Linked DNA regions of Schizosaccharomyces pombe. The protein of the gene in region 2 purifies or fractionates together with the protein of the main gene of each other region. This does not show direct contact. Each region holds a gene or a part of one and is shown on either strand. Other genes may lie near its edges.

Region 1 (5,126 bases), on a different chromosome or scaffold from region 2:
CAACCAGTAATTCAACCGACGCAACAGGACCTTTTAAAGCATTCGAAAGCCAAATAGGAATTGCACAACCAATTAAAAGATATATATGGGAAATAATCAAGGGGCCCTTGTGATCCCTGTTATCGGTATACTCCCATAAAAATTCATGGATCATTTTTCCAAATGGCTTAAGACGAAGTATGCGTATACCTTCAACAAACAGAAATATGAATAAAACTCCCGAAAAAGACAGGTGGAGAAAATGAGGATCTAAGCAACAAACCGGAAGAAATAAAAAGACAACCAAAGCATGATATGTCTTTCTACGAAAGTTCAGCACTTCATCTTCAGTGGTAAAGTATTTGCCAAGTGGATTATTACGGTTGCTTCGCAGAAGAATAAAAATAAAACAACCAAGGCAAATTATCCACCAAATAATTATTTTAATCCTCGTTAGGGAATTCCTATGCGAAAAAATTTGGTTGAACAACCATACTTCAGGTGCTTGTCCAAGTTGCCCAGCAACCCATGACCTGGACACTAAAAATACGAGCAAAGCGCTAAAGAAATAAATTAAACAAGTAGTAAAGAGTGCCGATAAATGTAATTTAGCAGCAAGCTTTAATATGCAAAGGTTTAACAAAATGAGTGTAGGTAAGGAAATGAGTAAAACTCCCGATAGCACTGAAACTACAGGAGATACTTCATACGAAAATGTAGCAAAACAAAGACCTGTAAGTCCGGTACAAATTAAAATGCCTTCAATGAAGGTAAAACTGTTTTGTGTAATTTCAAGAAAGGCAAGGATGACCGTTTCGTGAAGTTTTAAATTAACACTCGAATTACCCAGTCCATCTAAAACAATAGAGAGCCATTTCCATCTTTGTGTTAAGGACAAAAGAGCGTTGTAAAGACATACCGTGTACATCTCATGATACAAGACAGAGTTTTCTCCAAAGCCGACATAGAGGATACAAAAGGGAAACGATGATAACCACAATAACGGCCTAAATAATGAGTTAGTTGACTTAAGTTTAAAAATTTAATTGTTCGTAAAATCGTACTCATATAGCTGGATTATGCTAGACGAACCCAATAAATAAAAGCATGCAGGTAAAAAAAAGGACGCATTTGAAATTTGGAGGAACTTTTTGCCAGAGTTGCATAAGAAAGGAATGAATAAAACTGAAAATATTTCCAAAATACTTTCAAAATTCCGATGTTGATAATTCACTTCAACACATTCTTGCTCACGATCAATCTTTTCCGACGTATCATAACATTTTTTCGACATTATATACATTAAAAATCAACAAACAGTTAGCCAACAGAAATGATGTTTTTCATTAACAGAGGATTTGCTAAATAGCAACAATTGCAAAAAATCGTTAGATTGCTAAGTACTCTTATAACCAAAACATCAGATTCTCAAGTATTTTTATTAGGAAAGCGTTTTTTAAATGTTTAAGAATTAACAACCTCCAGTAATTTCAACTTTAATCGGTTTAGAGGAAAGCGTTTGTAGGAGGTGTTGATATTACCAGTAAAGTACTATATGGAGACAACTGTTACATCGAATATTACGATCAAGATTCATTTCAATAAGAAAATTGAGGATTTGTTTATATCTTGAAGATAAACTAATTTCTCTCTCTCATTAAGTACTACAATAAGTTGAGAACATTGAAATATTGAAACTGTCAGCCTAGTAGTAAAACGTTGATTTGAAAGAATGATCATAGTTTGTTTGAATGAATTTCATAAACTTGTTGAAATAAGAGTAAAAAGAATTAAATGAATTTGTAAAACAATTGGGATTTATAAAGCAATTTAATGCGCCTTTTCTAGCAGCCAAATGGGTTTCCCAGTCAATTTTTAGAACAATTTCTGTAAGTAACCAGAAATGCCTTCAAATTCACTAGAATCTATATCGTTTTTATTACAAAGAATGAACATTCTTTAATGTAAAATGAACCTTGATAAAAATGAGCCATTTATTTACATTGGATTTTTAAAACATATATTGAATTACGATGAGTTTGGCAACCACGCTATACTGCAGGTATATTTAAAACACGATTTTGTCATTTGCATAACACCAACACGTTCATTGAAGGATTGTTTAGTTTAAAGACAGGTCTATTCATTTCTTTTGTATTATTTGGGATTGATATCCTAGAAAAATAGAAGAATTGTGAGTATCGTAAAAGTCTTTTTCTTTTGAAGCGTGTTCATGACAGCGCAAGACTCTATACCTTCGCTGGAGCAGCTTGTTCAGCAAAAAAGAGTTAAGGAAGAGAAGGCGGCGAGACCAAAGTTTTTATCCAAAGCTGAAAGAGCTCGATTGGCCCTTGAAAGACGACAAAAAGAGGTTGAAGAAGCGAAAGCAAAACAGAATGACAAATTATTAGATTTAAGAAAAAGGACTTTTACCAATCATTTAGAAAATAATGAATTAGCAGATGATGAAAAAAAATCCCAGGTATCCTCTGTATCTAGCAATAACAGTGGCACAGAGAGCTCCGCAACGGACGAAGCATTCAGCATGACCATTCGTCAAAGGTACATGGGTATAAAGCCTCCTGTGGTAAAAAAAAGAAGAAGAAATGCTGATAAAAAATTTGTATTTGATTGGGACGCCACAGACGATACCATGAAGGATGCGGAAACCTCGGCATCACCTGAGGCTACAATTGCTGTATTTGGAAGGGGGAAATTAGGCGGATTTGATGACCAGTCGATTCGAAAAGCGAAAAGTAATTCTGGTTTGATTCAGCGTTTGCTTCAAGGAACGGAGCAGGATAAGGCTCGCGCACACGAGTTGATTCAGCTTCAAGAAAAACGAGCCAAAAAAATAGATTGGGACGATGTGCCATGGAGGGAAAAGCCATTGGAAGCCATGAAACCCAGAGACTGGAGAATCCTCAAGGAAGATTATAATATATCCATTAAAGGGGATGATTTACCAAATCCTTTAAGAAATTGGGAAGAAGCAGGCTTACCAAGTGAGATGCTTAAAGTTTTGAAGAAAGTTAACTATAAAGAACCAAGTTCTATTCAAAGGGCAGCCATACCTGTTTTACTACAGCGTAAAGATTTAATTGGAATTGCCGAAACTGGTAGTGGTAAGACTGCCGCCTTTATAATCCCTCTCATAATTGCCATATCAAAATTGCCCCCATTAACCGAATCAAACATGCATCTTGGCCCATATGCTGTAGTTTTAGCACCAACACGTGAATTGGCCCAGCAAATTCAAGTGGAAGGCAACAAGTTTGCGGAACCTTTGGGTTTCCGGTGTGTTTCTGTCGTTGGTGGTCATGCTTTTGAAGAGCAATCATTTCAAATGAGTCAAGGTGCTCATATAGTTGTAGCTACTCCTGGTCGTCTTCTTGATTGTCTTGAAAGACGGCTATTTGTTCTCAGCCAATGCACTTATGTTGTAATGGACGAGGCGGATAGGATGCTTGACATGGGATTTGAAGATGATGTTAATAAAATTTTGTCATCACTCCCTTCCTCAAATGCTTCTGAAAAGGATGGGTCAATTCTTGCTACTGCAAATTCCTCTTCGTCAAGACGTCAAACCATTATGTTCAGTGCGACCTTACCCCCACGTGTTGCTAATTTGGCAAAGAGCTATTTAATTGAACCAGTGATGTTAACTATTGGAAACATTGGCCAGGCAGTTGACCGCGTTGAACAGCGTGTTGAGATGATATCTGACGATAGCAAAAAATGGAGAAGAGTTGAGGAGATTTTGGAATCTAATCGATTTTCACCTCCTATTATCATATTTGTAAATCTCAAGCGTAATATCGAGGCTATTGCGAAGCAATTAAATGCCATTGGTTGGCATGCTGTTACTCTTCATGGCAGTAAAAGTCAAGAACAGAGAGAGCGAGCTATCGAACAGTTAAGGAATAAGACGGCTGATATTCTTGTTGCAACTGACATTGCAGGTCGTGGTATTGATATACCTAATGTCTCTTTGGTATTGAATTACAACATGGCTAAAAGCATTGAAGACTATACCCATAGAATTGGTCGTACAGGTCGTGCAGGAAAATCTGGTACAGCAATAACGTTTTTGGGACCAGAGGATACTGATGTATATTATGATTTACGCGTGTTATTAAGCCGAAGCGCGAAAGCACATATTCCTGATGAATTACGGAATCATGAAGCAGCATTTGTTAGACATGCAGCAATCACCCAGTAAATATTGTCTTTGGAGCATAACATTGAATGGGCACTTTATAATGGCCTTTTTGTACGTTACACTATGCTGAAATATGATTTAGTGATTTATTATAAAGTTTTCTTGTATATAAACAGTTTCTAATTTAATGACTTCAACAATTGAAAAAGTTAGTTTATTTCTTAAATCCTTGTAAGTGTGCTTACAGCAAGCAATCCTTAGTCTTAGTCTACTGCATGTACGAAAATTATTTACAAGCATCTATGCATTGTGTGTATTTAATGGATAAAATTTCGCACTAATAAAACGTACAGAAGAAAGTACACCCTGCTTGTATACGATAAGAGTTTTACTTGTACAATAACCATTTAGGAAAATTTTGATTATTGAAAATGCTCACAAGCTAAAAGAAAGGATGACAGTTCAAGCTCGGATATCCACAAAGGCTGAGCAAAAAAAGGCGAGTATAATCGTTATCATATTGCTACGAACAACTTCATTGAAGTTTCCATTCCGAAGGGATTGTCAGAAACTGGTCTAAATCATGCCTCATGAAAAAATGTATCCTAATTTAATTTTTTAAAATTTCGTAGCAAGACTTACATTAAAATGATGAAAGAATCTAGATGAAAACGAAAGATCGTAATCGTGAAAGTGCTTAATCTTGGCGACCCTTAACAAGTCGTTTGATACATTTGTCTGCGGTGATAACATAAACGACACAGCCCCATCCACTAATACAATCACGATCTTGGGCGTTAAGTAAAGCTTGGGAGATAGTCTCAAAGAGATCGTCAGGCTCTAAATTGGGCTCGTATACAGACTCACACATACCATAAAGTTGTTCTGTAGCGGTTCCAGAAACGATGAAATCCTCTGCAAAATCGATGCATCCAATGGAATCGAATCCACAGATAAACGGGGTATTGTCATTAGATACACCAGC
Region 2 (4,633 bases):
CATTTTTACGATTTTGTAAATATCAGAAGGTCCTTTGACACCGCCTTTTCCGGTCTTTCCTTTCTTTGCATTACCTTTAGTAGCCATAGCGGCAGGGTCATCGCCTTGTTTTTCCATCAATGCACTCATTGCTCTTTGAAAGTTTTCTTCTCGGAAATTACTTTTCTCATCAACCACTAAATGAATGCCATCGCTACCGCTAGGGAATAGGTAATGTTGAAGAGGCGTAGGTCGAAAATCTGTATAAACTACATGACAAGGCTGACGATGAATTTTTGTAATCCATTCAGCAAATTGCATAGCATTTGGAATTGTAGCAGACAGGAAGACAAAATGTGATTTGTCGGGTAATAAGATAATGGTCTCTTCCCAAACAACACCGCGCTCTTTGTCACGCATGTAGTGAATCTCATCAAAAATAACCCACGCAACTTCACGCATAACCTCTGAACCACGATACAACATTGAACGGAGAATTTCAGTGGTCATAACCAAACAAGTAGCATCTGGATTAATAGTAACATCACCAGTCATAAGACCGACATCTCCAAATTCAGCAAGAAGTTCTCGATACTTTTGATTACTTAAAGCTTTGATAGGACTTGTATAAATAACTCTCTGTTTATCACGAAGCGATTGAGCAACTGCATATTCTGCAACAACAGTTTTACCAGCAGATGTATGAGCACTGACCAAAACTGATTCTTGACGCTCAATACAGGCAATAGACACTGCTTGAAAAGGATCCAAAGTGAAGGGATATGTGCGCGCAGGGGGTATGGGACTTTTATGTTTAGAGATAGGTACATAATCATAATTTGGAGGAATAGAGACTTGATGACGGACCTGATGACGAAGTTCTACAACTTCTTCAGTAGATGATTTAGCTTCGGTCATCCCAACCTTCCCAGCAACTTGTAATGATGCTTCCTGCTCAAAAGAATCAGCTACCGTAGCCTCAGGTATAGTATCGCCTTCGTTTTTTATAGATACTTCATTGGAAATATCATCAGCAGCAATGTCTCCTATTTTTGGCTTATGTTTGGTATCAGCGACTGCAGAATTGTTAATATGAATTCCGTTAACATCATTGTTAGGAATAAGGTCTTGGTTATCCTTCAGATTTTCGATTTTAGCTCTTTTAGTTGCAGATTCTTGTTCCCCTACTGAAGACTCCAACTTTTTTGTACCTTGCTCTTGGTTAGAGGCATTTTTATCTGTTAAAGTACGCTTTATTTTTTGTGAATTTTGTGAATTTTGTGAATTTTTAGATTCCTCCTTTAAGCTTTTTGGAACTTTACCTTCAAAGACTCCAAAAGCATCATCTAACTCACCACCAAACATCACAATTAAAAAGATTTCTTAAACTGCAATGTGGAGTTGGTGTTGGCAAAAATCTGTTTTTTCTCTGTTTACGAAAGATGTATTAGCATTTGTTAAATAAATTATACTACTTGATTCACTAAGTTACCTAAAGTATTGAAGCGTGAGCCTCACAAAATAGAATTAAGCACTGTGAAGTTTCTCCCAAATGTAGACAAATTTCCTTTATAACCAGCATTATGAAGCTTGCAAGTTGATTAAAAGTATTGAATGTTACCTCAATGTTACTGAAGTAACAATTTCTGTATGTATCAAATGCGAGAAAGCTGTGTGAATTCTACCAGCGAATACTTAAATTATGAATTCTGATGACAATGTCGAAGCCGATGCTAGCTCGAATATTATAAAAGATTCTCCAAAAATTAAAGAACAAGAAAATACCTCAACAGTTAATGAGAGTGATGTATTAGCAACTTCGACGACTGCCAGTAGTGGTGTAAAACGAAAACGTCTCCCAAATGACCTTGTAGGACAATTACGGGATAAAATACAAGAGAACCCTAACGATATTTCTTCTTGGTATGCACTGGTAGAAGAGTATGGATCTAAGGGGAAGCACGAAGAGTTAAGAGAAACTTATGAACAAATGTTGCGACCTTTTCCTTACGTTCCACGAGTTTGGGTTGATTACATTAGTTCTGAGCTTGCCTTTAACGATTTCCATGCCGTTGAATTGTTATTTAGTCGATGCCTTGTCAAGGTTTTATCGGTTGATTTATGGACGTTGTACTTAAGTTACATTCGTCGAATAAATCCAGATGGTGAAGGACAATCTCGTTCTACAATTACTCAGGCTTATGAGTTTGTAATAAATACTATTGGTGTTGACATACTCAGTGGCCCTATATGGTCTGAGTTTGTGGATTTTTTACGTTCTGGCCCAGCTAATTCAACATGGGAGCAACAACAAAAACTAGATCATGTTCGTCGAATTTATCAAAGAGCTATCACTACACCTATCCATAATATTGAAAAACTTTGGCGTGATTATGATGCATTCGAAAATAGTGTAAACAGAGCAACGGCCAGAAAATTTGTAGCTGAGAAGTCTCCTGTTTATATGGCGGCGCGGGCAGCAATGAGGGAACTTTCAAACCTTACAGAAGGACTCAGAGTTTACGATTTTACCTTTGAACGTAAGTATACAAAAGTTGAAAGAATAGCGTATTCCCGTTGGATGAACTGGATTAAATGGGAACAAAGTGATCCATTAGATTTACAACATGGCACGATGTTACAGAATCGAATTGCTTATGCCTTTGAGCAAGCGATGTTGTATGTTCCCCTTTGTCCGCAGATATGGCTCGATGGATTTTCTTACTTTTTGAGCATTTCGGATGAACAGCGTGCTCTTCAAACTATTCGTCGCGGAATGCGTTATTGTCCTTCAAATTTTGTTTTACACGTTCGCTACGCGGAACATGAAGAAGCGAATAACCGTACATCTGAAATCCGCTCTACCTACGAATCTTTAATTGCAGCTTTAGCTCGGGAAATTAGTCAATTGGACTCCAAAGCATCGTCGTCCTCTGAAAGCTCAACAGATGGAAACCCTCAAGAAAAAAAATTACCTGAACACCTAGTAAAGCGTAAAAGTAGACTTGTTCGTCAATACAGTCTTGCTTGGTGTTGTTTAATAAATGCTATTAGGAGGACTGAAGGCGTGAAAGCAGCTAGAGCTATATTTACCAAAGCTCGAAAAGCACCATATCAGTCTCATGAGATATATATAGCTAGCGCGATGATGGAACATCATTGTTCGAGGGATCCGGTTATTGCCTCTCGAATTTTTGAGTTGGGTATGAGACATTTTGGAGATGTTCCAGCCTATGTTTATAAATATTTGTCATACTTAATAGCTATAAACGATGAAACTAATGCTCGCGCGCTATTTGAGAAAGCCATCCCGAGGATTGCAGCTGATGAAGCTAAACCCATATATCAAAAATGGCTTGACTATGAAAGTAATTATGGCGATTTGAATGCAGCTATAGCACTTAGTCAAAGAATGGCTGTTGTTTACCCTCAAGAGTCCACACAAGCCATATTTTTATCGCGCTATGGCTTGAAGGATGATGCTGAGGAAGAAGAACGGGAAACAAAAGAAGCGGAAAAAATTAGAGAACTATCTGTTCGCTTAAATGGAGGAAATGGATTCCCGGGCCATGTTCATAACAACAGGGAAGATGATGAAGTTTCTATAGCCTCTACCTCTTCTAAAAGTAACGTCGAAATGGAAGATACTCGTTTACTTCCTGCGTCTTTGGAATTAGCAAACACTCAAGGAGCATCGAATCCACCTACTTCAGCACTTCCAACTGTTCCGGTACCGTTACCATCTATAATAACCGAATTTTTGGATGAACTCCCAGCTCCTCAAGTAATAACTGGTATGTTGCATAATTGCGCGTTTATTGACTAACTATCTTTTAGGTCCTCGAATCCAACCAACAAAACTTATCGATCATATTATTAAATCAGATATCCCTTTCATTCGTTTACGAAATGCAAATGCACATTTGAAGCGTGCCAGATTTAATTAAAAATTTAGACTATTGCAAAGAAATTTTCTGCACTCTTTCCATTTTTGGTGGTGAGCAAAGTGAACTAATAATGAAATAAAATTAAGTTTTAGGAATGATCGATGTTAAATTACAGCGCCAAACGATATAGGTATATTTTAAAGACGAGTTTATTGTATTACTCAATTTTATCTTTTTTTTAATATATTAATCGTTACAAGAGCAAAGCAATGTGAATTTAGATTTGAGGTTTTGGGTCAAGTATGTAAAATGATTTCGCAAATCATAAAATTCACTTTGGTATTGAATATAATTAGAAACTTTAATCGACGCTGAACCCTTACTTTAAAATTTCCTTTTTTGCTAATTATTCTTAATTTGTGAGGAATGAAGTTTGAGCTTCATCGCATTTCGCATTTAAATATGGTAACCGTTCTTATATTAAACTTAACCGTATTTAAAGTGGTGCATGAAGCATAACTACAGTAAAATTATGTTAAATCAATTTTTAAATTACAGTTGACTCGACACAGAGTACAAAGTTAACTATCCGCTTATTATCTTAAATTTTCTATTTGAAGCTTGTAAATTATATGAAAAGTATTTATTGGGAACTACCCATCGATAACATGATGTTTTCCGTAATTTAATATAAGCAATTATGTGATAATACTAATTTTCTTTTCTTTTTTGTAATGTATTCGACCGCAACTTCATGTTCTTAAATT

The links.
Region 1: the proteins of rna14 (region 2) and prp28 purify together in Schizosaccharomyces pombe (affinity purification with western blotting, with the first as the bait; one study listed by BioGRID). This does not show direct contact.

Annotation. Positions count from the first base shown.
Region 1 is NC_003421.2:854,941-860,066, forward strand, and holds prp28 (U5 snRNP-associated protein Prp28), read left to right. Parts: upstream 1-2,076; 5' UTR 2,077-2,212; coding exon 2,213-4,201; 3' UTR 4,202-4,352; downstream 4,353-5,126. Other genes in the region: dolichol kinase Sec59, read right to left, coding at 1-986, 1,044-1,282; proteasome core particle subunit beta 3 Pup3, read right to left, coding at 4,839-5,126. UniProt on the Schizosaccharomyces pombe protein: ATP-dependent RNA helicase involved in mRNA splicing. May destabilize the U1/5'-splice site duplex to permit an effective competition for the 5'-splice site by the U6 snRNA, resulting in the switch between U1 and U6 at the 5'-splice site.
Region 2 is NC_003424.3:1,347,099-1,351,731, forward strand, and holds rna14 (cleavage and polyadenylation specificity factor complex subunit Rna14), read left to right. Parts: upstream 1-1,665; 5' UTR 1,666-1,681; coding exon 1,682-3,773; exon of another isoform or gene 3,774-3,816; coding exon 3,817-3,926; 3' UTR 3,927-4,133; downstream 4,134-4,633. Other genes in the region: TRAMP complex ATP-dependent RNA helicase subunit Mtr4, read right to left, coding at 1-1,344. UniProt on the Schizosaccharomyces pombe protein: Component of the cleavage factor IA (CFIA) complex, which is involved in the endonucleolytic cleavage during polyadenylation-dependent pre-mRNA 3'-end formation.